3 linked regions of the Drosophila melanogaster genome follow. The protein of the gene in region 1 interacts with the protein of each later gene in a pairwise test. Each region holds a gene or a part of one and is shown on either strand. Other genes may lie near its edges.

What was found.
Region 2: the proteins of osk (region 1) and cup interact in a two-hybrid assay, tested with the Drosophila melanogaster proteins (one study listed by BioGRID).
Region 3: the proteins of osk (region 1) and Lasp interact in a two-hybrid assay, tested with the Drosophila melanogaster proteins (2 studies listed by BioGRID).

What each region holds. Positions count from the first base shown.
Region 1 is NT_033777.3:8,932,078-8,940,632, forward strand, and holds osk (oskar), read left to right. Parts: upstream 1-3,048; 5' UTR 3,049-3,068; coding exon 3,069-3,603; intron 3,604-3,638; exon of another isoform or gene 3,639-3,722; intron 3,723-3,851; coding exon 3,852-4,269; intron 4,270-4,364; coding exon 4,365-5,129; intron 5,130-5,187; coding exon 5,188-5,290; 3' UTR 5,291-6,318; downstream 6,319-8,555. Other genes in the region: ScsbetaA (Succinyl-coenzyme A synthetase beta subunit, ADP-forming), read left to right, coding at 6,743-6,811, 7,592-7,695, 8,405-8,555. UniProt on the Drosophila melanogaster protein: Organizes the germ plasm and directs localization of the posterior determinant nanos. Oskar protein is required to keep nanos (nos) RNA and staufen protein at the posterior pole.
Region 2 is NT_033779.5:6,660,681-6,668,207, reverse strand, and holds the start of cup (cup), read right to left. Parts: upstream 4,545-7,527; 5' UTR 4,059-4,544; coding exon 3,621-4,058; intron 3,278-3,620; coding exon 2,417-3,277; intron 1,945-2,416; exon of another isoform or gene 1,858-1,944; coding exon of another isoform or gene 1,200-1,857; intron 1,123-1,199; coding exon of another isoform or gene 917-1,122; intron 848-916; coding exon of another isoform or gene 678-847; intron 538-677; coding exon of another isoform or gene 519-537; exon of another isoform or gene 175-518; intron 1-174. Other genes in the region: Galt (Galactose-1-phosphate uridylyltransferase), read left to right, coding at 519-537, 678-847, 917-1,122, 1,200-1,857; CG13771 (uncharacterized protein), read left to right, coding at 4,631-4,772, 4,834-5,076, 5,141-6,111; Ube4A (ubiquitination factor E4A), read right to left, coding at 6,509-7,527. UniProt on the Drosophila melanogaster protein: Adapter protein that plays a central role in localization of transcripts in the oocyte and in young embryos. Maintains RNA targets in a repressed state by promoting their deadenylation and protects deadenylated mRNAs from further degradation.
Region 3 is NT_037436.4:16,707,134-16,714,922, reverse strand, and holds the start of Lasp (lasp), read left to right. Parts: upstream 1-3,245; 5' UTR 3,246-3,911; coding exon 3,912-3,980; intron 3,981-7,789. Other genes in the region: Dab (disabled), read right to left, coding at 603-711.

The DNA.
Region 1 (8,555 bases):
TCTGTTGTTGAATATTTTTTTGTCGTCCTTGGATGGGCCATTAATAAATTCACTTCGTCTGTCTATTTGGATTTCGTTCTAGCCTTTAAGCTCTTAACTGCTAACGAATCGCCATTACTAGCGAGTAACAACAAAATGGTTCATCAATAAGTTATCGATAACTTAAGTCGCACATCCGTTATTGAATAGGAATTTAAAATTTTACACCTTCAACATTAAATCTTTTTTTTAAATAAAGTCTTTTCTACAGGGCAAGCAACGTCTCGTTGACAGAAGCGTTTCCAAGCTGATCGTTGTTTGTATTTGTAAATTGTGTTTGTATTGACATTGCCTTTGACCTTTGCTAAAATATTAAAACCCTTAAATAAACAGTAAATCAAATAAATGTGATTTAAATTGTAATGAAGTATTATTCTAAAAAAATGTAAGATACATTTTTAAAACTTTAAAAAATAAACACTTAAGGTGCACGCAGGCATTCATTATTTTTGAAAATAAATATCCAAAGTGACTGGCAGCCTTCCGTCAAGACAGCTTCGAAATTACCATATCGTGTGGGCATAATGAGGACTTTCTTGGGGTTCAAAAACCGGAATCGGAAGCAGTCTTACGGTCTGCGACACCTAGCCTTGATTAATTGCCAACCGGCCACACACTCAGCCAGATGCTTAGCCGTTTATCTCGAGTGTTTTGCCATTTTACAATCTGTTGGCCAACCTGTAACCGGTCATCATAAAGGAGTTAGCCATGCACTGTCCAAAAATTGATTGTAGACCAAGAACTTAATCTCGAATTAAGTTAACTTCATATTCCAATCATTCCAAACTATTACAAATCGAAATGGATTGATTGACTAGAACGATCTTTCCGTATATTTTATTTATTTTCCGTTTTATTTTTCCGTTTTTTTCTTCAGTGTGTTCCACATCCATAGAATTACAGCAGGGCTCTAATTACGTGTGTTTGAATTGCGGCGCCCTGATTAAGGCCCTTTTGCAGGGCAATCAATCGATTTGCTGCGGAGTAATAATAACAGATGTTAAGCCAGACTCTGGAAACGGATAAGGATAATTACTGGAAATTAGTGATGGAGCTGCCGCCGAAAGGCGATCAGATTCAGTTGCCATTGGGGTGAACTTCTGGTTAATCGTGTGCAACGCAATCAGCATTCCTGAGATTTTCCGCCTGTCAGCAGATTAACAGGTGTCTCTCCGCCCCACCAAAGTGAGGCAATAGCTAAATTGTTCGCATAAATTGATTACAATAATTTGCCTATCCCCCAACATTTAGCCGCCCTCTGCGAAATGAATTCGCTGCTGGTAAAAATTCTAAGACAGCAGACAGAATAACAACAAGTTGCTCCGTCGGCTTCCATAATTTATGCAGAAATGCAGTCGAACCCAATGAAAAGTGTCGTTCACAAATCTAGGCGGTAAATTGCTTTTTGCGATTTCCAATGCACACCCACCACACGCAAATGCAAAAGTTGTCAATCAAAAATGGTCGTCAATCATGGTAGTAGTTGTTAGAAAGGAAGAGAGTAGGAAAATGTCTTTAAAAATATTAAACAAATTTATTTTTCAGTGGTTACTTCCTACAATTACGCTTATAGAAATACAAGGAAGGTTGCCAAATACCATAAATATATGTATAATTCCTTACCTTACAATCGAGTGACCACTGTAATTCTTAGCTGGGAGTAGAGAGAATGAGAGAGGGCCTGGAATGCAAATTACTATTATTACCGGACAATTGCCCTGTGCTGTGCGAGTGCATTCAAAATATTTGAAACACCACCCGAAAAGGGAAAATTGAATGGCAAGAAAAGCCGGCTGATTCATCCCACTCTAAATTATTGGGCTTACACATTCAGCAAATAAAAATGGGAGAAGGGTCGAGATTTATAAATTGGACCACATGTTCTCGCCCAGTTTTTCTACATACATATAGTATTGTATTGCTCGTCACGTCTCTGCAGCATCCTCTGCAATTAAGGCAAGGCTAGGGAAAATATACAGTCCAACATCTATAAGGAAGTACTTCCCTAAATTACAGATAGGTTGTAGTGGCACTAACTATTGCCCATTCTATATATATTACCCTTTGAACCCATCAACACCTTATTGAAAATTATTTTTTTATTATTCTGATCTGCTAGTTAAGTAAAATTTTTACTGATTTAATTTTTGTAATTTCTTGCTGGTACGCATTACTGATGTTTGACTGTATCCAACTTGCTTAAGCTAAGAAGCCATAATCCTCCTTCCGATTGTCTGTGCTTCTTCCGGGGTGCCGGAATCATCACGAGATGTAAGAAAGCCCCTGAGTCATCCATCAATCGCTGGACTAACCCTCAGAGCAAGTGCCTCCATTACCCTTCTCGGAGTTTCAGGTGCACTTGCTGTATGGATGGATAATCATCTCCTGGGGAATTGCTGCCAAGCAGCTCCATTTGCCGATTAGCCGACAGACCACCAGAGCACCACCGCACGTGGTAACGCTCGTCGGCACCATTTGAGTTATTCTGGAATTTATGTATATGCTACTTCGTAATTGCTTATCAAGCAGCTCTGCAGACCCACTGGCGTGCTGTTTTCTAATCTGGACCAAGAGAAAGGCCATTAAAACGAATGTCCAGCTGGAACGGAGTGCAAACTGCTTTGTGTAATGGTCGTCAAATGGCAATGCAGGTGGTAATTTCGTTTAATTGTTTTTACTGGCTACGTAGACTGCTTTGAATGTTAACCTAATGGTGGGCGAATGGGAACAAATTGATAAAAAAATTAAAGAAAATGAATATATATATATATATATAGGTTCTATATTAGGTTCTGAAAACAGTTTTTTATTTTTTCAAAATTTTTTGGTTGTACCACCCTAATGTATTTTCACAAATTCTGTTGATCTGGAAACATTATCTCTGCAAACTGCTCACCGTTACTTCTGTTGCGCCTGCTCTTTCGCCTTCCAGTACGAAAAGCACCGTAAGTCTCCAAAATGCAGATGAATGGAGAAGTGGACCGCGTTGGCGAGGGATCCAAGAATATTGGATCACTTTCCTCCAAGCGATGGCCGCAGTCACAAGTGAATTCCCCAGCAAACCGATCAGTTATACCAGCACCAATACTTCCGCCAAAACCTATTATCTTAAGTCCGTGAAAAAGCGGGTGACCACGTGTTTCCAGCAGTTGCGCGATAAACTCCAGTCATCCGGTTCCTTTCGCAAGAGTTCCTCCAGCTGCCTCAACCAGATCTTCGTAAGGTCCGATTTCTCCGCATGCGGCGAACGCTTTCGGAAGATCTTCAAATCGGCGCGAAAAACCGAATTGCCGGAGTTGTGGAAGGTGCCATTGGTGGCCCATGAACTCACCAGCCGGCAGAGCAGCCAGCAGTTGCAAGTCGTAGCCAGACTCTTCTCGTCCACTCAGATTTCCACCAAGGAAATCACCTACAACAGCAACAGCAACACCAGCGAGAACAACATGACCATCATCGAGAGCAACTATATATCCGTGCGCGAGGAATATCCCGATATAGATAGTGAGGTGCGCGCCATATTGCTGAGCCACGCCCAGAATGGAATCACGATATCGAGCATCAAGAGTGAGTAGCTTTATGTTTGAAAGCTTTCTTCTTTCCAGAAGTTTCGACTTCATCAAACACTTCAGAACTTTCTCTAAGTGGCTATATTTAGTTAGAAATCTAAAATGTATAAATTTTTAGTAGGTTATTAAATTTTATTTGGATTATATAACTTTTATAGTTTAGTATATTTATTTTAATTTATATTTTTTCTATGTTTCTTTTTTGTAAGATTACCCTTAAATAATTCTATAATTGAAATTCGCCAGGTGAATATCGAAAACTGACGGGCAATCCATTTCCACTGCACGACAACGTGACGGATTTCCTGCTGACCATTCCCAATGTGACCGCTGAGTGCAGCGAGTCCGGTAAGCGGATCTTCAACCTGAAAGCGAGCCTGAAGAACGGTCACCTCCTGGATATGGTGCTCAACCAGAAAGAGCGCACCAGCGACTACAGCAGCGGAGCTCCGTCCCTGGAGAACATACCACGAGCACCTCCACGCTACTGGAAGAATCCCTTCAAACGGAGGGCTCTGTCCCAGCTGAACACCAGCCCGAGGACCGTGCCCAAGATAACGGATGAAAAGACCAAGGATATCGCCACCAGGCCGGTTTCGCTGCATCAAATGGCCAATGAGGCAGCGGAGTCGAACTGGTGCTACCAGGATAATTGGAAGCATCTGTGAGTACTGAAAAGGTGTTTTGTAGACAGTGCAACTATAGCAAAAATAAACCTTTACTTAACAAAATGTACTAATCTTTCTACTGAACTCCTAGCAACAATTTCTACCAGCAAGCCAGCGTAAATGCGCCAAAAATGCCAGTACCCATCAACATCTACAGCCCCGATGCCCCAGAGGAACCAATCAATTTGGCTCCACCTGGGCATCAGCCAAGCTGCAGAACCCAAAGCCAGAAAACCGAACCGACTGAAAACCGCCATTTGGGCATCTTTGTGCATCCATTTAACGGCATGAACATAATGAAGAGACGCCACGAAATGACGCCCACGCCAACGATTTTAACCAGTGGAACCTACAACGATTCTCTGCTGACGATTAACTCGGATTACGATGCCTATCTGCTGGACTTTCCGCTTATGGGCGATGATTTTATGCTATATCTCGCCCGAATGGAGCTAAAATGCCGATTTAGGCGTCACGAACGCGTCCTGCAGTCAGGACTTTGTGTATCCGGACTGACGATCAATGGCGCCCGAAATCGTTTAAAAAGAGTCCAATTACCCGAGGGTACTCAGATCATCGTCAATATCGGATCGGTGGACATTATGCGCGGCAAGCCTTTGGTTCAGATCGAGCACGATTTTCGGCTACTGATCAAGGAGATGCACAATATGCGATTGGTGCCGATTCTAACAAATCTTGCACCGCTGGGCAACTATTGTCACGATAAGGTATTATGTGACAAAATCTACCGATTCAACAAGTTTATCCGAAGCGAATGCTGTCACCTAAAGGTCATCGACATACACTCCTGTCTAATCAACGAAAGGGGCGTGGTGCGATTTGATTGCTTTCAGGCGTAAGACTTTATACCATATACCATATCATATGAGTTTACGATTTGTGCCACTTTTCAGCTCACCACGCCAAGTCACCGGTTCCAAGGAACCCTATCTGTTCTGGAACAAAATCGGTCGGCAGCGCGTACTGCAAGTTATTGAAACGAGTCTGGAGTATTAAGTTGGGTTCTTAATCAAGATACATATATGCAAATTTTGACTGGGCTGGCACCGGAACCGACAAAATAAGAACTTTTTGATGATTTTACGATTTACGCTGATGGATCGCTGCTTTTACGGAATTCGCTTAGTTTTAATATGTTTTATATGTAGTATGTTCTCTGTCTTTGTTTATTTATATGTTCGTGCACTTGTCCTAGTCCATTATTGTATATTATTGTGTGTTTTGTGTTCTATGTTAGATTTAAACTTCTCAATTTTTCGCTGTCTGTGATTTGTTTTGCCAATGCCATTGATTTTCTGCACACTTTTTGCTGCTATCCCAAAAGCTGTGTAAAATAATCAAATGCAAAATAAGCGCAAGCAGCTGAAAACTTCTCTTCAAACTTTTCCGCTTTTCCCAAAACCATTTTGCTTTGAAATCTGTTTTTACCAAATCAGATTAAACTGCAAAATGGAACTTAAATGCAAATCATTGCAATGCTTATAAACTGTTTTTTGTTCTATATACTTTTGTGTGGGTCAAAATTCGGCATGCTCCTGTATCACACAACCTGCCACTTGCCCTTAAAAAGAAGGGCGCAGTGGGCGTGGTACGTATACATATGAGCCATGCTGCATTTTGGCCGTAATGAAAATGCACTGCTTTACTTGGAAAATTCGCTTGCACAAAATCAACGCCGCGGCTGATTTATTATTGATGTGCTCAAGCAAATTCAAGTGAAGCATTTGCGCGATTTTCGTCTTTCTGTTTCCGTTTGCAAAAAAGTTTATAAAATGCTTACACTCTGCTGCAGACACGCCAACCGGAAGTGCGCACTAAGCGCTTGTTTGTAGCACAGTGTAGAATTCTGGCGTAATTTACAGCTCTACTTTAAAGTCTTCTAGATAGCTATCTACTATTTATAAACTTATTTATTGTCTTGAATGTATGTTAATTGTATGTATTGATGGTGATCACGTTTTTTTTGTCCTATAACAAGCTGCAATGTAAAATCCAAAAAAAAAATGAAAAAATAAAATAAAAGGGAAATCAATGATTTTGTTTGCTCTAAGCTATGTTCAAAGTAACTGGGAACTAATCGAACTAATTTCGATTTAAAAGTGGTCTAGATTATATTGTGACATTTGTGAATATATTATTATATTTGCGAATTTATTATTATCATAAAAATAACGGTAGTTGAAAAATAATTTAGATGGCATGCAATATTAAAAGTTCCCGCCAAATTGGCTTGAATCTTTGCTAATATATTACAGTTTCCAACCTTGCATTAAGTTCACGATAGTTTTTCGGCATTTTCGATTGTAAAAGCATAAAAAAGTCCCTGCTATCGAAGCTCTACCACCTCCATCAGCAGGCGACGGCAAAAAAATCTTGAAATGTAAGCAGTAACGTCAAAATTCGCTTTCAAATCGTTAAACGTACGTTCTCATTCGATTTCAGAACAAAATGGCTTCATTCTTGGCACGAACTGGCGGCCCCCTGATCGAAACCGTTAGGCCAGCGGCCATAAAAAAGGTGAGTTCGCCAATTAGTAGTCATATTTGTGTGTAAAAAATGCGAAAATCCGTCGCTTTACATAATAAGGCGAAAAGAGAGAGTGAACACCTACGCTGTCCCCTTCTCTGTCTCTCACTTACTCACACATGTGAAATGCTGATCGTTTATCGGTACAAAAAAAAAACTTAAGCGATAATTTAAGTTCTTTGCCATTTGTTAACTAATTGTTTCTCCAGAGAAACGGGGAGAGTGTGAGATTTAAAGAGAGTCACGATCACCAAAGACACCTGACTTTTTTATTGTGTCAGTGTGACGCAACTGTGCGCTTTTCGTACGCATGTGTGTGTGTGGGGACCTTGAAAGCCCCATTTATTCCCCCACTTAATTTAGTTTGTTTTTTATCAATGAGCAGCTGACAACTGTTGCTTATCGTTTGTGGTTGTTGTTGCTGTTGTCGCCGGGCCCTCTAATTAAATTCTTAATCTGTGAATTAGTTTCGGTTATCACCGGGAAACGCCGTTAGCCGGACGAACTTGCTCTTAACCCAGATTTCGTTTCTTTTCGCCGCTTTTTGTTTATGTTTTTTTCACATGAATCACCGAACCAGTTTTTTTATGTTTAATTTTTGCTTGACAATGACCTCGTGACTGGAATTAAGATTTCATTTATAAGTACAATAAGTTTCGAAATCGTTTTTATTTTCATCCTTTTAAATATATTTTTAATTATTTTTCTTGTTATCTTTAATTAGCATCTAATTTTCGCAAATTAACATGGCAAAAATTCCAACCTTTTCAGATTCTTGGCCTGGCTCCCATCGCCGTCCAGCAGCTGAGGAACCTCAATGTCCAGGAACACGTTTCCTACAGTCTGCTCAATGAGGCCAAGATCCCAACACCTCGGTGAGTAAACCCAATCGGAATTATCAAAATCGCGGGCAAACAACCAACAATTTGCGTCAAAGTCGCAGTCCAAAGTTCAATGAAAGTGCCGCGTTGTCGTTGCGTCGTCTGTTTCCTTTGGCTTATGTGCGTTTTGGACTTTGCCTGAACTTAATAATATGCATTGAGTATAGCCGACTACGGGGTAAACAAACCAGAGAAACGCAGCCGCCGATGATAAGGGTGATAACAAGTTTTATACTATAACACACTTTGATCGGCGTAAAGTGACAAGGGTCAGTGACGTGGGCTTTGATAAGATGGAAGCGGCATTAGTTGACGTCTATCATAATTAAACTAACTAAATATACATAAACTTTGGGTAAAGAAAATATATTTTAATGTTTAAAATACCTGTAATTTAAATTTAAGCAATTGCAAAGCTAGAATATTTTGATTTCCATTTCGTTTGATAAATTGAGATTATTAGAATCAAAAGATAGTAGTTGCTTTTGCTATTATTCAGGTAAAATCAGGCGACTGATTTATTTTCTAAATGAGGGCTTGTCATCTCTCGAATGACCGAATAACCTTGTCTCAACTTTCAACCTTTGTGGTCTACTGATAACACGATTTACGTGAAATGTTCCTATCAACAATCAATCAGGAACATCGTAAAGAGCGCACCCCCAAAATTATTTCGCGTACTGAGTGATTCATTTTTTTGCAGTTTCGCTGTTGCCAAGAACGGCAAGGAGGCCAACGATATCGCCACCAAGCTGAAGACCGATAACCTGGTGCTGAAGGCTCAGGTTTTGGCCGGAGGACGAGGCAAAGGAACCTTTAAGAATGGCCTGAAGGGAGGTGTGCGAGTGGTCTAC
Region 2 (7,527 bases), on another chromosome or scaffold:
TTTAGGAAACAGTTTGTTCCAATCACAATAATTAGGCAAACAGATACTGCATAAAATATAAATATAACTATACTTATTTAAACATTAAACAGCCATCTCTATGGACGTCTTATCGACCACCGCGCATCACTAGCGGCACACACAATCGCGCTCACACTGTTTACACACCCATATCAGAACGCCCAGCTGAGTGGGAGAGATAAGGCTGATGGAAAATTCTTCCACTGAAAGGCGGAATGCGTGCCAAACTCAAACTAAACGCTCGCCGGCAGAGTGAGCGGAATAATCCGAAGAGAGAAAAGAGAGGAATGTAGCTGAAGAAGCGCGCTTTGCTAAGCGAAAAACAGCTCAACTGGAATCGGATTCAGAAGCAAAAGCAGAATCACAATCGGAACACCAATATCAGCAGCATTAGGAGCTGTAATCGCAACGCGGCAGGTTGACATTGGGCTTGTCCCGTGAATCTGAAGTAGTCATAATCCGATCGGAGTGATACGGAGCGCCAGTCTTTCGACACGATGCAGTTTGTGGCCAGTGGTAGGTTTAAAAGAAGTTCCACCATGCCAATTTGATTCAGTTTCTATGGCGAATGGTCATATGTTGATCAACAATTAGTTCCAAATCAATGGTCTGGTTTATCGCTGCTCAATCTTAATTAAAATCGAATGTCATTGCAGAGCACCCGCACCGACGTCTAAATCCGTTGAACGGCCAATGGGTCCTAGTGTGCCCACATCGCACCCAACGCCCTTGGTCGGGTCAGCAGGAGAAGGCGCAGAAGAACGAGCTGCCCGAATTCGATCCCACCAATCCTCTGTGCCCTGGCGTCACCAGACCCAATGGAATCGTAAGCGACCAAACTAAATCCTCGCAAATGTTTTAAGCATTCTCACGTGTATATTTTGTAAATGATCAGCAAACTCCGGAATATGAGAGCACCTATGTGTTTGAGAACGACTTCCCGGCCCTGGTGGAGGTGGTGCCCGTTCCGCCCAACAACGATGATCCACTGTTCCAGATAGCTCCCGCCCGTGGCAACTGCCGAGTGATGTGCTTCCATCCCAAATCGAATCTGACTTTGCCCACGATGAGTGCAGCGGAAATCGTCGTTGTTATCGACGAGTAAGTGGAGGATTTATGGTTTATATCAGAAGATACTCAAAATAATAAACCCACTTTTTATCTAACTGCCTATCTAGGTGGATCAGCCAGTTCAACGAGCTTAGCGCCAAGTACGCGTGGGTGCAGATATTCGAGAACAAGGGAGCCGCCATGGGGTGTTCCAATCCCCATCCGCACTGCCAGATCTGGTCATGCTCGTTTCTGCCGACGGAACCGCAACTGAAGCAGGAGCGTCTGCGTGCCTACTACGCCACCAACGAGCGGCCCATGCTGGCCGACTATGTGGAGCGTGAGCTGCAGCGCCAGGAGCGGATTGTCATTGAGAATCGCGACTGGTTGGTGGTGGTGCCCTTCTGGGCCACTTGGCCCTTCGAAACCATGCTCATCTCACGCAACAACAATAAGCGGATCAATGATCTTACCGCAGAACAGCGATACAACTTGGCGCTGACCATAAAGGAGCTGACCACCAAGTATGACAATCTGTTCCAGTGTTCATTCCCCTACTCGATGGGTTGGCATGGAGCACCGACTGGGCCGGAGCATGCCCACGCATCCAGTGCTCATTGGACCCTGCACGCCATCTACTATCCGCCGCTGCTTCGTTCTGCCTCCGTGCGCAAGTTCATGGTGGGATTTGAGCTGCTGGCCATGGCCCAGCGGGATCTGACTCCCGAACAGGCAGCCCAAAGGTTGCGGGAGGTCGATGGAAAGTGTCATTATCTAGAGAAGTGATTTCGCTCGAGGGTATTTGTAGAATCCCAGATGGTTTAGAATTCAATAAAAGGAAATAGTCTAATACGACTGTAGTAATTACTTCATACTTATTCGCAATCAGTTGTAAAATGTTCTAGATTAGTGATTTGACTGTGGCGAGGGTCCAGCCAATGATCAGCATGATTGCCAAAGACCTCTGGAGGTCATGCAATGCAATCATTGATTTATCAGATAAGCTCAGGAATAATGCGACTTTGTGTTACCTAATGCAAAAGTGGGGAAAATGTTCTTAATCGATTAAGCGATTTTTTCTAAGCAGAAAAGGCGGGAAATATGATTTTTCATAAAAGAGCTTTTCTGAGCAGACCAAAAAGACAATTTGGCCTACAAAGGAAGGGGTATCAGATGGTCGAGGTACTCAAATGAATCGACGCCATGTGTAACTGTAACAATTACCGCACTGTCACAATCACTTTTTCCTTTTCAAATCATAAGTTTTCCATTAAGCTAACCAAGTCTATTTTATATAGAATATATGGCAAAATTGAGTAGAATAGTATAAGTTTAACTAGCTTACTTGGAACTCCGTTTGCGGCTGGGGCGGTTGGCTCTGGATGATGGACTCGTCACTGATTAGGTTCGGCTTATTTTTGTTTTTGAAGAAGGCAGGCATGCACTCATTGTTGTTGTTGTTGTTCATGTTTAAGTTAGCTGTGGTGGAGCGGGTCCGGAATCTTGTGCCGTCCGAGGTGCGCCAAATATTCATGCGGCGAAGCCTTCCCTCCAACTCAATGTCGTCGCAGGTGGCGATGCGAGGCATCACAAAGCTCTCCTTGGACCTGTGCATCAGGGCATTGAACATCCCGTTGCGAATGTCCATCAGGCGGGAGCGGGTATAGCTCTTGACCGGCTTGCTGCTGACCACCGGAGCAGTAGTAGGACGAACAGCCTTGGGTGCTCGCAGACTTCCTGGCTTGTGAATGCCTGTGCTGGGTGGACGCTTTTGCTGCACCTGACTAGACTGCTGCTCCGGCACGGCCTCCTTGCTGGCCACTTGCTTCCGCGGCGAATCGTGCTCCAGGTCACAACTAACGGCCGTGCAGGACAACATGCTGGAGGGCTGTGTGTACGGTGTGGATGCTCGGGCCGAGAGAACTTGCAGGGTCAGACCCTCGTCCTCGTGCAGATGCTTCGAGGGTCCATGCATCGGAATGGCCTCCCCCGAAATGGATTCGAGGATTTGATTCTGTTTGGCCAGTAAATTGATGATCTTACAACGCCTCTCCATCTCCACAATAACGGCGGGCTTTTTGGTCTGCAGCATAACAGCCGTGGATGTGGATGCCAACATGGATCCATCGCCGATCGTTTCTGGGTTTGAGCGCCTGGGTAACATCTCCAGGGCCACCACATTCTTGTTTTTGATGGAACGAGAAGACTGTTTGCCAAAATAAAAACAACATTGAAAAAACTTCATGATATATGAGAGTGCCTGTCTGTACTCGATGTAAAATAAGTGTCGAATATATGAATGCCAAGTCAAAGTTTCTTTAACTAAATTTTTAACGACATTTGTATCAGAGCTGCTCTGATTCCTAATACCATTTACGTGTTTAATACTGTGCTTTGTTGGCCAATAAATATTGCGAAGATTTTAGACTAATATCAAGTTTGACTCAAGAAAAGTTAAATTTAAAATGTATTTCAATATAAATATATAATCTGACAACAGTGTGCACTGCTAATAATAAAATTAAAAATGTTATATGTAATGAACTCACCTCAGGGCTGGCCTTTAGCGTCCGCTTGTTGGCCTCCAACTTGGTGATGGCCTTCTCCAGTGCGTCCTTCAGCTTGAAGGCGGGCAGCTTGAGGTAGCCCAGTCCGGTGGCCAGGAAAGCGCTAGTCGGCAGCGGAGGAGGCGGGGGCGGAGCGCACGGATCCTCCCACTTCTCGGAGTTGGCCTCGTCGTCGTCATGCTCTTGACTGGCATTCAGAGCGGTGGCCTTGGTGGCTAGCGGAGCCTGGACTGGAGTTGGTGGCGGTGGAGGGGGCGGGTACTCGAACTTGCCCTTCTCAGCGGGGGTCAGCACCTCATCCTGCTGATCTTCGACTGGCAGCGGAAGCTGCTGATGCGCTGGACGATCGGTTGCACCCGCATTGGTGGCAATTTTCAGGGCGCCAGCGCCATTTTCTTGCTCAGCTTCGGCCATTTGCATAGCATGGCCATTCAATTCGATCGCCTCCTCTTTCATAGGGTCCATACTCACTAATTGTTGGTTTTTTTTTTGGTTAAAACTTAAAACGAGTACTTTTGATCGGGTCAAATATATTGAAATGTATGAGAAATTGAACGAAATCACGTTTAGCACAGGTTCGTTCGATCTTAGGATCCGTTATTCGGCGCTGCTACGATGAGTAAGCAGGACAGGAATAGGAAAAAATACCGAAAGCGAATGGTGGAAGATGGAGGATGGATTGACCAGTGTTGACAAACACTGATCTGCGACTTATACAGCTTTCAAATAGTTAATTCTTTGATTCCTAAACAAAACAGCGAATTTATTAATAATGCGCTACGACATTTACTTTTGACAACAGAAAGTAGCTAAGCCTGGAACGTGATAACTTTGGAAACTAGTACTTGTGATTCTTAAGATTTCGATTACATAAAAGCCGTTATTCTGTTACAAATTTAAAAAATTAAGTGCAAACGATTTTAACGTACTGTATCTTATTATTTGACAACTATACATATGAATATAGCGGAGCACACAAACCCAAAATTTAAATGAATTTGAGCCAGCACTTTGGCAGAAGGGTGATCGCCGTGCGACACCCGTGGCACCAACTGGGTGCAATTCGTCACTCGTTCATGGAATCCGGGAGGGAGCTGCTGGATTCGGGGCACCGCTCGGGCACGATGGCAGATGGTAACCGCGGGTAAACCTCCACATTATCGTCCACTTATCCAACTCCCAATACCAAGCACAGTGGCGAAGAAAATCCGTGAGCACGTCGGCGTGGAAGGAGGCTACCACATCATTCCCAAGAGCCGGGATGGACTGCTCAAGTTTCAGCCGAAGCAAGACGAACTGCCCAATCGCTCCATGCTGGACTCACAAACGACTGCCCAGGTGCTCCTGGAAACAGATGCTCTGTTGAGGCAACGATTCGTTTACGGGCGAGGCTTGCTTCGCATGGGCAGGATAATTGAGGAACTTGACCTTCTTGCAGGTAAGTAAGTAAAGTATACTAACTAACTACTCCAAATACCTGATTAATGAGAGTGGCCTTGCAGTGTGGATCTGCCATCTTCACATCCATCTGCCCAATCTGCCGGAGGGTGTGCCGCTGCCATACACTTTTATCACCATGCTGGTGGACCACGCCCACTTCTTGCAAGACAAGTTTATTGCGGATGCAGATGTGTCCCTCTCCGGTCACGTTTCATATACGGACAATAACTTCATGGAGGTCACGGCATATGTGCGACAAAGCGGAATGTTGCTGGCAAAGGGCATTTTTGTGGTAGAGGCTCGCGATGCCATCAATAATGGCCCTGCTCCTGTCAATCCTCTGGTGCCGGCCAATGAGCTGGAAGAAAGTTTACACCAGGAAGCGCAGAAGCGGCACCAGGAGCGTGCCAAAGCGTTGTATCGCCTGGAGTCGCAGCAGCCCACCAAGGAGGAACAGCAGCTCATGTACGAGCTATTTACCCGAACCAAGGGCGATGACGGACCTTCGCCGAGTGATATGACTACTCTACCACCGAATTCCCGCTGGATGTCCACGTGGCGCCGCAGAACCCTGATGCATCCGTTCCCGGAGAACCGAAACGAATCGAACACCATTTTCGGAGGGTTCATCATCCGCAAGGCTATCGAGATTAGCTACATGACAGCCTCCCTCTACTCCAACCAGCGTTGCATGATCCGCTTCATTGCGGACGTTACGTTCGCCCATTCCATTCCCGTCCATAGCTATATAAAACTGAAGGCGTACGTGGTTTTCACCCACGAAAACTACATTCAGCTGCTGACGGTGGTGAATGCAATCGATGGCAATAGCTTTACGGAGCTTAAGTGCAATGTGCTGCACCTGACCTACTCCTGCAGCAAAGCAGTTCCGGAGATCCTTCCCAGAAGCTATCACGAGGCGCTGTGGTACCTAACTGGTCGTCGCTACTTCAATCGATTCCGTGAATCAGTAAGTCACGACATGGACAATGGATCTGCCGTAGAAACCAATGGAGCGAAAAAAGACAATTAGAGATTGGATTTAATAAAACATATGCTGTCGATTTGCATTATAGATATTTTCATTTGATGAATTAATTGAATATACACATTTTTTCAGCGAAACGCCGTTTATTTAAACATATATGTAAACATATTGTGAACACAAAACCAAATATGACTACAATAATTTATCCTTTGCATGTTATTCGTACACATTGTTTGTTAATTAATTCGGTTGACAGGAAAAAATGGATTAAGAATACATTTTAAAAACCACTAATTATAAAACTGCACATACACATACCACCATGTATGACTGGAATTCTTATGAACAAAAAAACATTGATTATTGCCCTAACAACCGAATCCCCGTGGAGCTAACTCTTTGGTTGGGCAACTGAGCCAGCAGCTGCGGGTTCGCTGCTACCTCAACTGTTCGAGCGGGCCGCCTCCCGCTTGCCCTGAATCCAGCTCTCAATTTCCTGCTTCAGAGCCTCGTTGGACTTGACCTTATCCATGGTGAGCGGTTCGCGGTTAAAGGGATCGGTCTGATCGCTCAGAAGATGACGGGCGATGGTGGAACGATCCACTGTTACCTTGGAGCTGGGCAGCACCACAGGGTCGGTCATAAGCGTTGAGATAATCGGATCGAGGTACTCTTCCGGCGCATCAGCCAGCAGCTCCTGCTCCTCCTTGTATTGAGCACCCATACGCGCTACCTTCACAGCAAACTCGGACATGTCGCCTATAAGTTGGCCGCCTCCGATTCGGATCAGGATGTTCTCGGCATAGCTGAAGAGCTGTTCGCTGTATGAACGTCCATCCTGCGATACGGCCAAACAGAAGCTCTCATCGGAGCTTAGGTTGATGTAGATGTGAGAGATCTCGATCACCGTCTGAGCCGGATCGAATTCGAACTCCTTCTTGTCCTTTACCTTGAAGCGCTCCTTCTTTGGGCCAACCAAATTCAGCAGAAAATAATTCAGCATGGCTGCCATGCGATCGACCATGCTGTTGTGGCAGAAAATGCTTTTGATTTTCGAGGTGAGCAGCTTGAGGAGATTTATGGTGTCCCTACCGATAATGTTGTCAAATCGAGCTAGCATGCCCAGGTGCTGGAGGTTCGTCATGTGCTGCTCACGCTCAGTGTGCGGTAGGCTTTCCCACTCACCATTGTCCTGCGCCTGCTGAAGCTGTTTGATCTGCTCCAGATTGGACAACGACTCGTCCAACAGAAAGATGGCATCATTGATAAGCAGATTAATGAAGCGCAGAAATATGGGCGGCTCAATGGCATCCATATTCTGCTCCGCTTCGACTGCCAGGTCACGAAAGCACTGAACGTGCTCGGGTTTGGTCCACAGGAACTCCATTATAGCGTACATGGGCCGGCGATAGTTGAATTTTTGTTCGAATTGCACTGACTGTCCAGTCATCTCAATGCTTA
Region 3 (7,789 bases), on another chromosome or scaffold:
CCTCGTTGGATCATCCAATATTTAAAATGATGCTTTGATGGAATGCAAAATCTATATGGATTATATATTTTTTATTGTGGTATATCAAATTTGAAATTTTAAAAATCTTCATTCAAGATCAAGAAGACTTTCATTGTTCTATTCAATATTTCGCATCACTTTTCATTCCTTCCGCTGGGAACTATGATTTAAAAACAGTTTTATTATTTCTTTGCCTTCCGAAGCATCTTTATTACAATTTTATACTGAATGCTAAAACAGTTTTGAACGTCTAAGTAGAATTTAAAAGATTTTTAAACATGTATGTACACTGAAAAACTTCTTCTGATCATCTTCTTTATCTTCAGATTTTTTTATAAAGAACTCGATTCTTTGAATATCAGCATTTATTGTATTAGTAAATCTCAATTTGCTATAGTGATAGGACCAATATTGATTTTTTATATATAGCTTCGTCTTATCAGCACAATATCAAAAAAAATTTTCACTGTGATCTTCGCATATGTTTGTATCTTGGTTTTGTTTGCCCTTTCTCACTGCGGAGGGGCCACTGTGTTCGTTTGTTTGTTATTTGTGTATTTGCTTAGTTTGTTTTCGCTAACGTTTTGCGTAATTCGTTTCCTCTGCCGCGCCGCTGCCGCCGCCAAAGGTGCTGGCCAACGAGAGATTGGAGGAGGCTGTGGACAACTTGGCCACCAGGGACTTGACCATGTTTCGCCCGGCCGAAGTCTCAGTGGGTACTGCTCCTGCTCATTGGGAAAACGCTGGCTGGAAAAACTCTGGAATTCTGGAACTCTGGTCACCGAAGTGTCAACAGAATCAGTGTAGCATTCCGGGCCTCTCTGTTGTGTGTGTGTGTGTTGACATTTCCATTGGGACGCGGACGATGACGAGAGGGTGTTGGTGCTGGAGGGGGCACACAATGGGGGACAAACAATACATAAATTCCACAACGATTTTTCGCGACGCTATAGATTTAATTAAATTCTAGCGGAGAACGATGCGCGATCATGGAATGAATAAAAGCGAATGAGAGCGTGGAAACGATTCGAATGCTCTCACGGTGACTCTCTTTTTCGACTGGACTGGATTGTCGCAGTTTGTTCAATTGAAATAATAAACAAAAACACACACACACACTCTTTGAGGCACTCGTGTGTACACATAGATTTCACTCTATTATTTAGTGATTTTTGTGGCGCAAAATACAGTACAGAAAACGAGCAGCTCTCTCGGCCATTGTTGATCTTTTTTGGGAAAACTGCAACACCTGCGACGCCGGCGCAGCAGCTGCTATTCGATTGGCGGATGCTGTCTGAGACGCTTATCGATAAGCCGGGTCTAGCATTGAATCGAGGGATCGATCAATAGGATATATCGGAATTTGAAAAGCTAGCTTCGGCCAGAAATAAACCTAAAACGTTTAGTTTTACTTAATGGTGAGGAATTTACTTTGTCCCTGCTCATAAGTATGATTAGCTTTTTAAGTAAACAAAGGAGAACGCTATGGTCGAATTACGCAGATAATAGAAGTGCGAGGGAGATGCAGGAAGGAAAGTAGAAAAGTTGACTGACAAAATATTTACCACCTAGAAAAGGTCTATCATGTCTCTACAACATGGCGTATGAGTGTAATTTGATATGCAGTGCTGTTAAAAGGGCAAAGTATCTTTAAAGAGAAACAATTTAGGACAGTTTTTCTTTTACTGATTTCAGAAATATTACTTTAGAACTTCGAAGTAGGGATGCCTGTGTTCAAAATACATAATATACCCTAATTCAATTGACAATACCAAATAAATTCGTTGTTGACATAAAACACTGCAATTTAAATCAATGTGAATGGCTTGCGTTTTTAGTTGATAATTTCATCATTCCTCACTAGCAAAAATTTCAAGAAAAAAAATTTCTTCCCACAAGAAGAATTACTTTAAAAAGACTTTATAGATGAAAAAATTCCGTTTTAAGGTGTTATTTGTATTACTTACATTTACAAGGACTCGTTTTCTTGCGCAGCGTCTGCATTTTGCTCAGAAAAAGCTGATTGGCATTCGTGTAGTAATTCCTTTGGCCGCGTATAATGTTGCGAATAATGATTGAGCCTTAAAGAGCTTTATTTATTTATGATTTATTGGACTTCCTTCGTTGTTTTATTGCTAATTGCCTTTTGTGATTTGTTTACACTTGTTTCGCTCTTTGCGTCTTCCGTCTCTTTCGCACTCCCCAACTTCCTGACAGTCAGCGTTTTGTTGTTGTTGTTATTGTGCCAGTCGGTCGATAGAACACACCGGCATTTGTCTCACTCACACTCGCACGCGCTCACACGGACACGGCACGGATTATCGATTTTCCAACGGGGGCCTCTGTGTGCGTGTTTACTTCCACTTTGCCTACTTTAAGGCGTTGTGGGGGGTGGGAAAGGGATGTAGCTACGCCTTTCATTATGCAGCGGTAAGCTATCTAACTTCAATTAACTGTTATTCGTTGTTTTTGATCCTTTCCCGTCTTAATATTGCACAACACGCGCAGCTTTCTTTGTCTGGCAGCCAGGAAAAAAAGTGAAGCACAAAGAAGTGGGTGACACACTCGTGATTTTGGCTGAGCGAAAAAACCAATTCGACTCTTTTGGCAAATATTTACAAGCTGATTTTTACGTTCTTCCTGCTTTGCATGTTATTGGCCATTAATTTAACCCAATTTGAATGGGTTTGTAGTTTAATTTGGGTCCTACGCCCTGGGAGCAGCAGGATATGCACACACACCGAAAATTCGATAGTAAAACTCCAAGGATTCGAGGGTGGTGGGTCAAGTGCCGCGGGCACCCTGTACGCCAGCCGGTACATAGGCTATCGGTCTATCGACGACAACCGATAGGTAATTGCTCGTACTTGCGGTACACACAATTACATATGTTTATACAAAGGTTTGACATAAATTGAAACTATAATAGTAAATTTCTCTGTTAAGCTTTGATAGAAAAAAAAAATGTAAAGATTTTATACCAAGGGTACCTTAAAGTTCGATTAGCTATCAAGATATTATGTCGTTAAAACTCGTATAACCGTTGAAGATCCTTTTTTAAATGATGATTTAAATTTTCTTGGTATTTTCTACAATCGAATAGATGGTCACACTGCAAAGCAATTTCTCCACAAAACAGTGGCGCCATTACGGCCGAAAAGAGAACTCAAAAACATAGCAAGACATCGAAAAATATTGCACCACAACCTTGCAACGGTCACTTTGCTCGCAGTCTGCTGCGGTCACTCTATTCGAACGGAACGGAATATTTATCGCGGATTGTCGCGTTATTTCGTTTGTGTCGCGCCTCCATCAAACTCACCTTAAAAATTAACACTCAAATCGTAGATTACGAGCTCTGTGCGGTGTTATCAAAAATAACGGAATTAATTCATTACGGACGCCTACGCCAGTCGTTCTTCCTCTTTTTCCACTGCGCGCGTCGCTTATTTTTACCTGCAGCGCAGTCGCGACAGCTGAAAATTAATAAAACGAAGAGAAAAGTGTAAATTGGATCACAATTGGTAACAAAAAGTCTATGCGATCGATCGCCAGTTGTTTTATACATCAACAACAACAAAGCAAACCAGTTATTAGATGTTTTTGTGAATAGTGTAAATCAAATTCTCGGCTCATACCTACACACACACCAAATACATTCCCGTAGTTCCTATTCAGATCCGATCGGTTCTTCGACTCGCAGATCACAGAAAATATGCAAAATTAAGCCAAGAGGAGCGTAAATTCGTGCGCAAATCGTGGGCGCAAAAGTGTCGTCAAAACGGGGAAAATAATCAAAGTTAACAGTAATATCCTGTTGTGTAAATAAAAGGCTTATACATACACACACAGTCGCAGAAGCAACAAACAAAGGAGGAAAAAGCGGCAAGATGAATAAAACCTGTGCCCGTTGCCAAAAGGTGGTTTACCCCATCGAGGAGCTTAAGTGTCTGGACAAAGTGAGTTACATTCCCTATGCATATGTAGACTATTTATCCTATTCAAATTCTATAATGTTCGCGGTGGCTCCTTTTTCCGTTTTAAGCCGCTCTTTTGTGCACTTGTTGCGGGCGCAAGAACGAGACGGCTAGCTAGCACATGGCCGTGGGTTCTGCTCTCCCGCTCCCTCTCCATGATTTTATCCCTTCCCCCATTGATCATGCGTGCCTTTTTGTATTTTTGTTGCTCTGCTTCTTCGGTGTTTATTATCCTATGCTTAATAACCGCAAAAGTTGTTTGGCTGCTTTGCCATTCGCTTCGCGGAATTCAAATATTTACTCGAAAATAACGGCGCAGCCTCGCGCGCGTCCCTGTGTGGGTGTAATGGCACTATTGCACTGAGAAAAATCACAAGATCGCTCTTTTAATACGATTTTCATTTCCACTGGAAAAAGAAGATGAAAAAAATCTTTATTTATTTTTATATTTTATATTTTGATAAAATATATATAATTTTCTACAAATTATAAAATCTATTTTTCTATTATACCATTTGATTCTAAGTGATATAATCTTTTCGTATCCCACGATCGATGCAATTGATCAGTTCAGCATTTTTGCTCAGTGTAGTAATGCGCGGGTGGCGACAACCAACAGAAATTACTGCTCACATTTTCGCCAACTCAGGAAATTTCTACAATTGCTTTTAATTTACGTTTGCCGCCGCCGCTTCCGCTGGCAGAATTTTCGGGCTCCCTCTCTAATTATATCGTGGCCTCTCTTTCCCGCAGCGGCGCTTGTTGCATTTCAATTCTTGCGATCTTGTGTCTTTTTCGCACGGCTTTTTTGGTTGCAGCCGCTTTTGTTGTTGTTGTAGTTCTTGTTATCTTTCGAAAAGCAACAAAAGCAAATCCGTTGACCGACCTTGAGCGCATATTTTCGAGACTTGAGACCAGTTTTTTTTTACTGCGTTCTCCACACACACGTACACACACACTTACGCTTAAAATCTGACACAGTGGTATTCGCGAAATTAGCAGCAGCTGGCGAAATGAAAATATAATTTTTTTATTTTATTTTTTATGTTTGAAAGTGCTGATTATCTTAATTCTATTTCCGCTTAAAAGTGTTTTGATAAAATACATATATATTTAAATATTTATTTTTTTCACCTAACTAATTATTTGATTTACTCAAATTTCTTGATAAATTTTTGAATTCTCTAGAATATTTTTAAATGAAAATACTTCGTTTACCGGAAATAAACACCGTTTTTGCATTCTTGGAAATCGTTGAGCTTAACGGTTTGTACCGTTAAGAGTTTAAATTGCAATGAATAGTATTCAAATAAAAATGGGAAAGATTCGTTTTTCTTAAGAAAGAAGTAGGATACAACATAGATTTTATAAGTTGGAAATTTGTTTTGTAGCTGAGCAATTAGACTGAATACTGTTGCTTTTACGAGGAGAAGACTATAATTAGTTGGCGCTTTTCAAACTGTAGATTTGCATAATGTTTGTACTATATTGACAATTAGTTTTCCAACTAAACGACTAAACACAGCTGTAGTTGCACGCAAAGTGGGGCTTTCGTTTCTCATGTTCAATGTGCCCATGGGCTTATTGGTTTACGCCTAATCCAGTTTATTTTAAGCGAACTTATATTTGCCTCTAAGTCTGGGGGCTTTTCACCAATTGCAGTTCCATTTTATTTTCGCCCTTGGCTGGGCTGTCTATCAGTCTGTGTTTACGTTTCGAGGGCCTGTGTTATTGTTGTTCCCACGAAATTTGGAAGCTGATAACGCAGCTATCGAGCCGAGCCACAAACATTTACATTACGAATCGCTTGGATCGGCTCGGCTTCCCCTTTGAATCGAATTGAATCCATCAACGAATTCCGATTGCCAATCAGTTTCGAGTATATCAGCAGCGTTGAAACGTGTCAATCTTGCCCCGTATAGAACTAATACCCCTTCAGCGCCAAGAAGCACATCCTAATTATAGTCTCGTCTTTCTAGAGTTTCTTCTTCTTCATCTTCTTCTCCCCTTCCGAGTCAGCAATTTCGATTCTAATTATAGACAATGGAGTAATGAAGACTATTTTAAAGTCACAAGACAGACGCACTGAAGTCGGTTATAAAACATTTATGTATGTGCGTCTGTGTGTGTTTTTCGCCTAATGGAAATGCTGAAACTTGTAAACACAACGTTTGATGGGTATGAAGTGAGGGAGTTGTGTGTGTGTGTGTGGGGGGGGGGGGGGGCGAAGTTTGAGGAGCATAAGTTTACCTTTACATTAAATTGCATTAGTTCACTTGTGTAGTTTCGTGTTCAACTTGCGCCTGCCTTCTGTTGCCGGGTGTGTCTGCCATTGCGAAACAATTTAAATGCATGCATTTCACAACAGGCTTTAAAGTTGAGCAATAGATCGCCAGCCATATGAGGTCAGAGGCTTGACAAAATAAATGATTGCTATGCGGAGGGGATCAATCATATTTTTATTTTGCCAGCCGCTCAGCGCATTACTAATTGGGGATATTTTTTTTTTGAATTTTTCTCTAGTGATTGTAGGAAGGGGATGCAGTAGTTTTTTAAAAACAGGAATTTGTGGAATTTATGTATATTTTTATATTTATAACGCAACCGTAATCTAGTGATTTTAGCTATTTAATCTAGGTATTTATTACGAGATTTGTTGCTTAACATTTCTGTTAAACCAATACCCACTGTACTTGCAATTTATAGCAATACAAACCCCCTGACTAATAAAAGCCTATGAGATCAGAAGCCAAGCTCGAACTATTGTTTTCCGACTTTCAAGTCCAGTTTGCTTACGCAATGCTCGTGTGATTGTTTTCCATCATTAAAAACGAACAAAGCATTAATTCATTGAATGGGGAGATACTATAAATTTTGCACTTTTCCCTGAATCGCCGTTACTTAAACAGCAATATAGAATTATAGGGACTGTTCAGAGCGAGATTTTCCTTGGCTGCTATCTGCACGTGACACATCCTGATATCCTGATATAGAAATCGATACTCGTGACAGCAATAAACGGCTATTTTATACCAATTATCTCTTATTTCCTTCCACCTCGCATAGATACACATACATTCGTACATAGATATGAGCGCATAGAGAGATTGGCACGCGAATTCGTTTGAAGAAATGCCTTTTTAAATGTGCCGTTAAAGTTTTGCGGCTTTATGCGGCGCATTGCTGCCGGCGCTTTGTTAATCGATTTTTGATACGAGCAAAAAAAATTAAAAACCAAGCGATTCGGAATGGAGAAGTCAACTCGACTGCTAGCCCATAAAGTTGGGCCTCCTGTAGCCGTGCCTATATCCTCTGTGCCTGTCGCTTCTGTTGCCAATTTCATTTATCTCTCAGCTTTATATTCTTCTTCCTGTCTTATATTGCATTTGATAAAGGAAGGGTATACTGGAATACAGATAAATGATGTGGGATTTCTTAGAATATCATTAGATATGATTGCAGAAACATATTATAACCTATATAACTCCTTAAAAGCCATAACGATGTTTTTGGGTGAATTGTTTATTAACTGAACCTTAATATTTATGTACTCTTAGTATATTATAATTTTATAATTAATTTTTAATTTAGCTTAAAAGACTGAAGACTGAAGATGGTATGGTTAGAAGATACCTGACATTTATTTCAAGCTTTTTTTCATTATAATGGAATTTGCTAAGAGTATCTTCTAGTTGGAATCCCATCTTTCTGCTTTACCAATAGTAGTCATTGTTGCACTTGGGCTTTATTTTGCACGAAATATGTGAGTTTGACTTTTTGCTTTGCGCTTT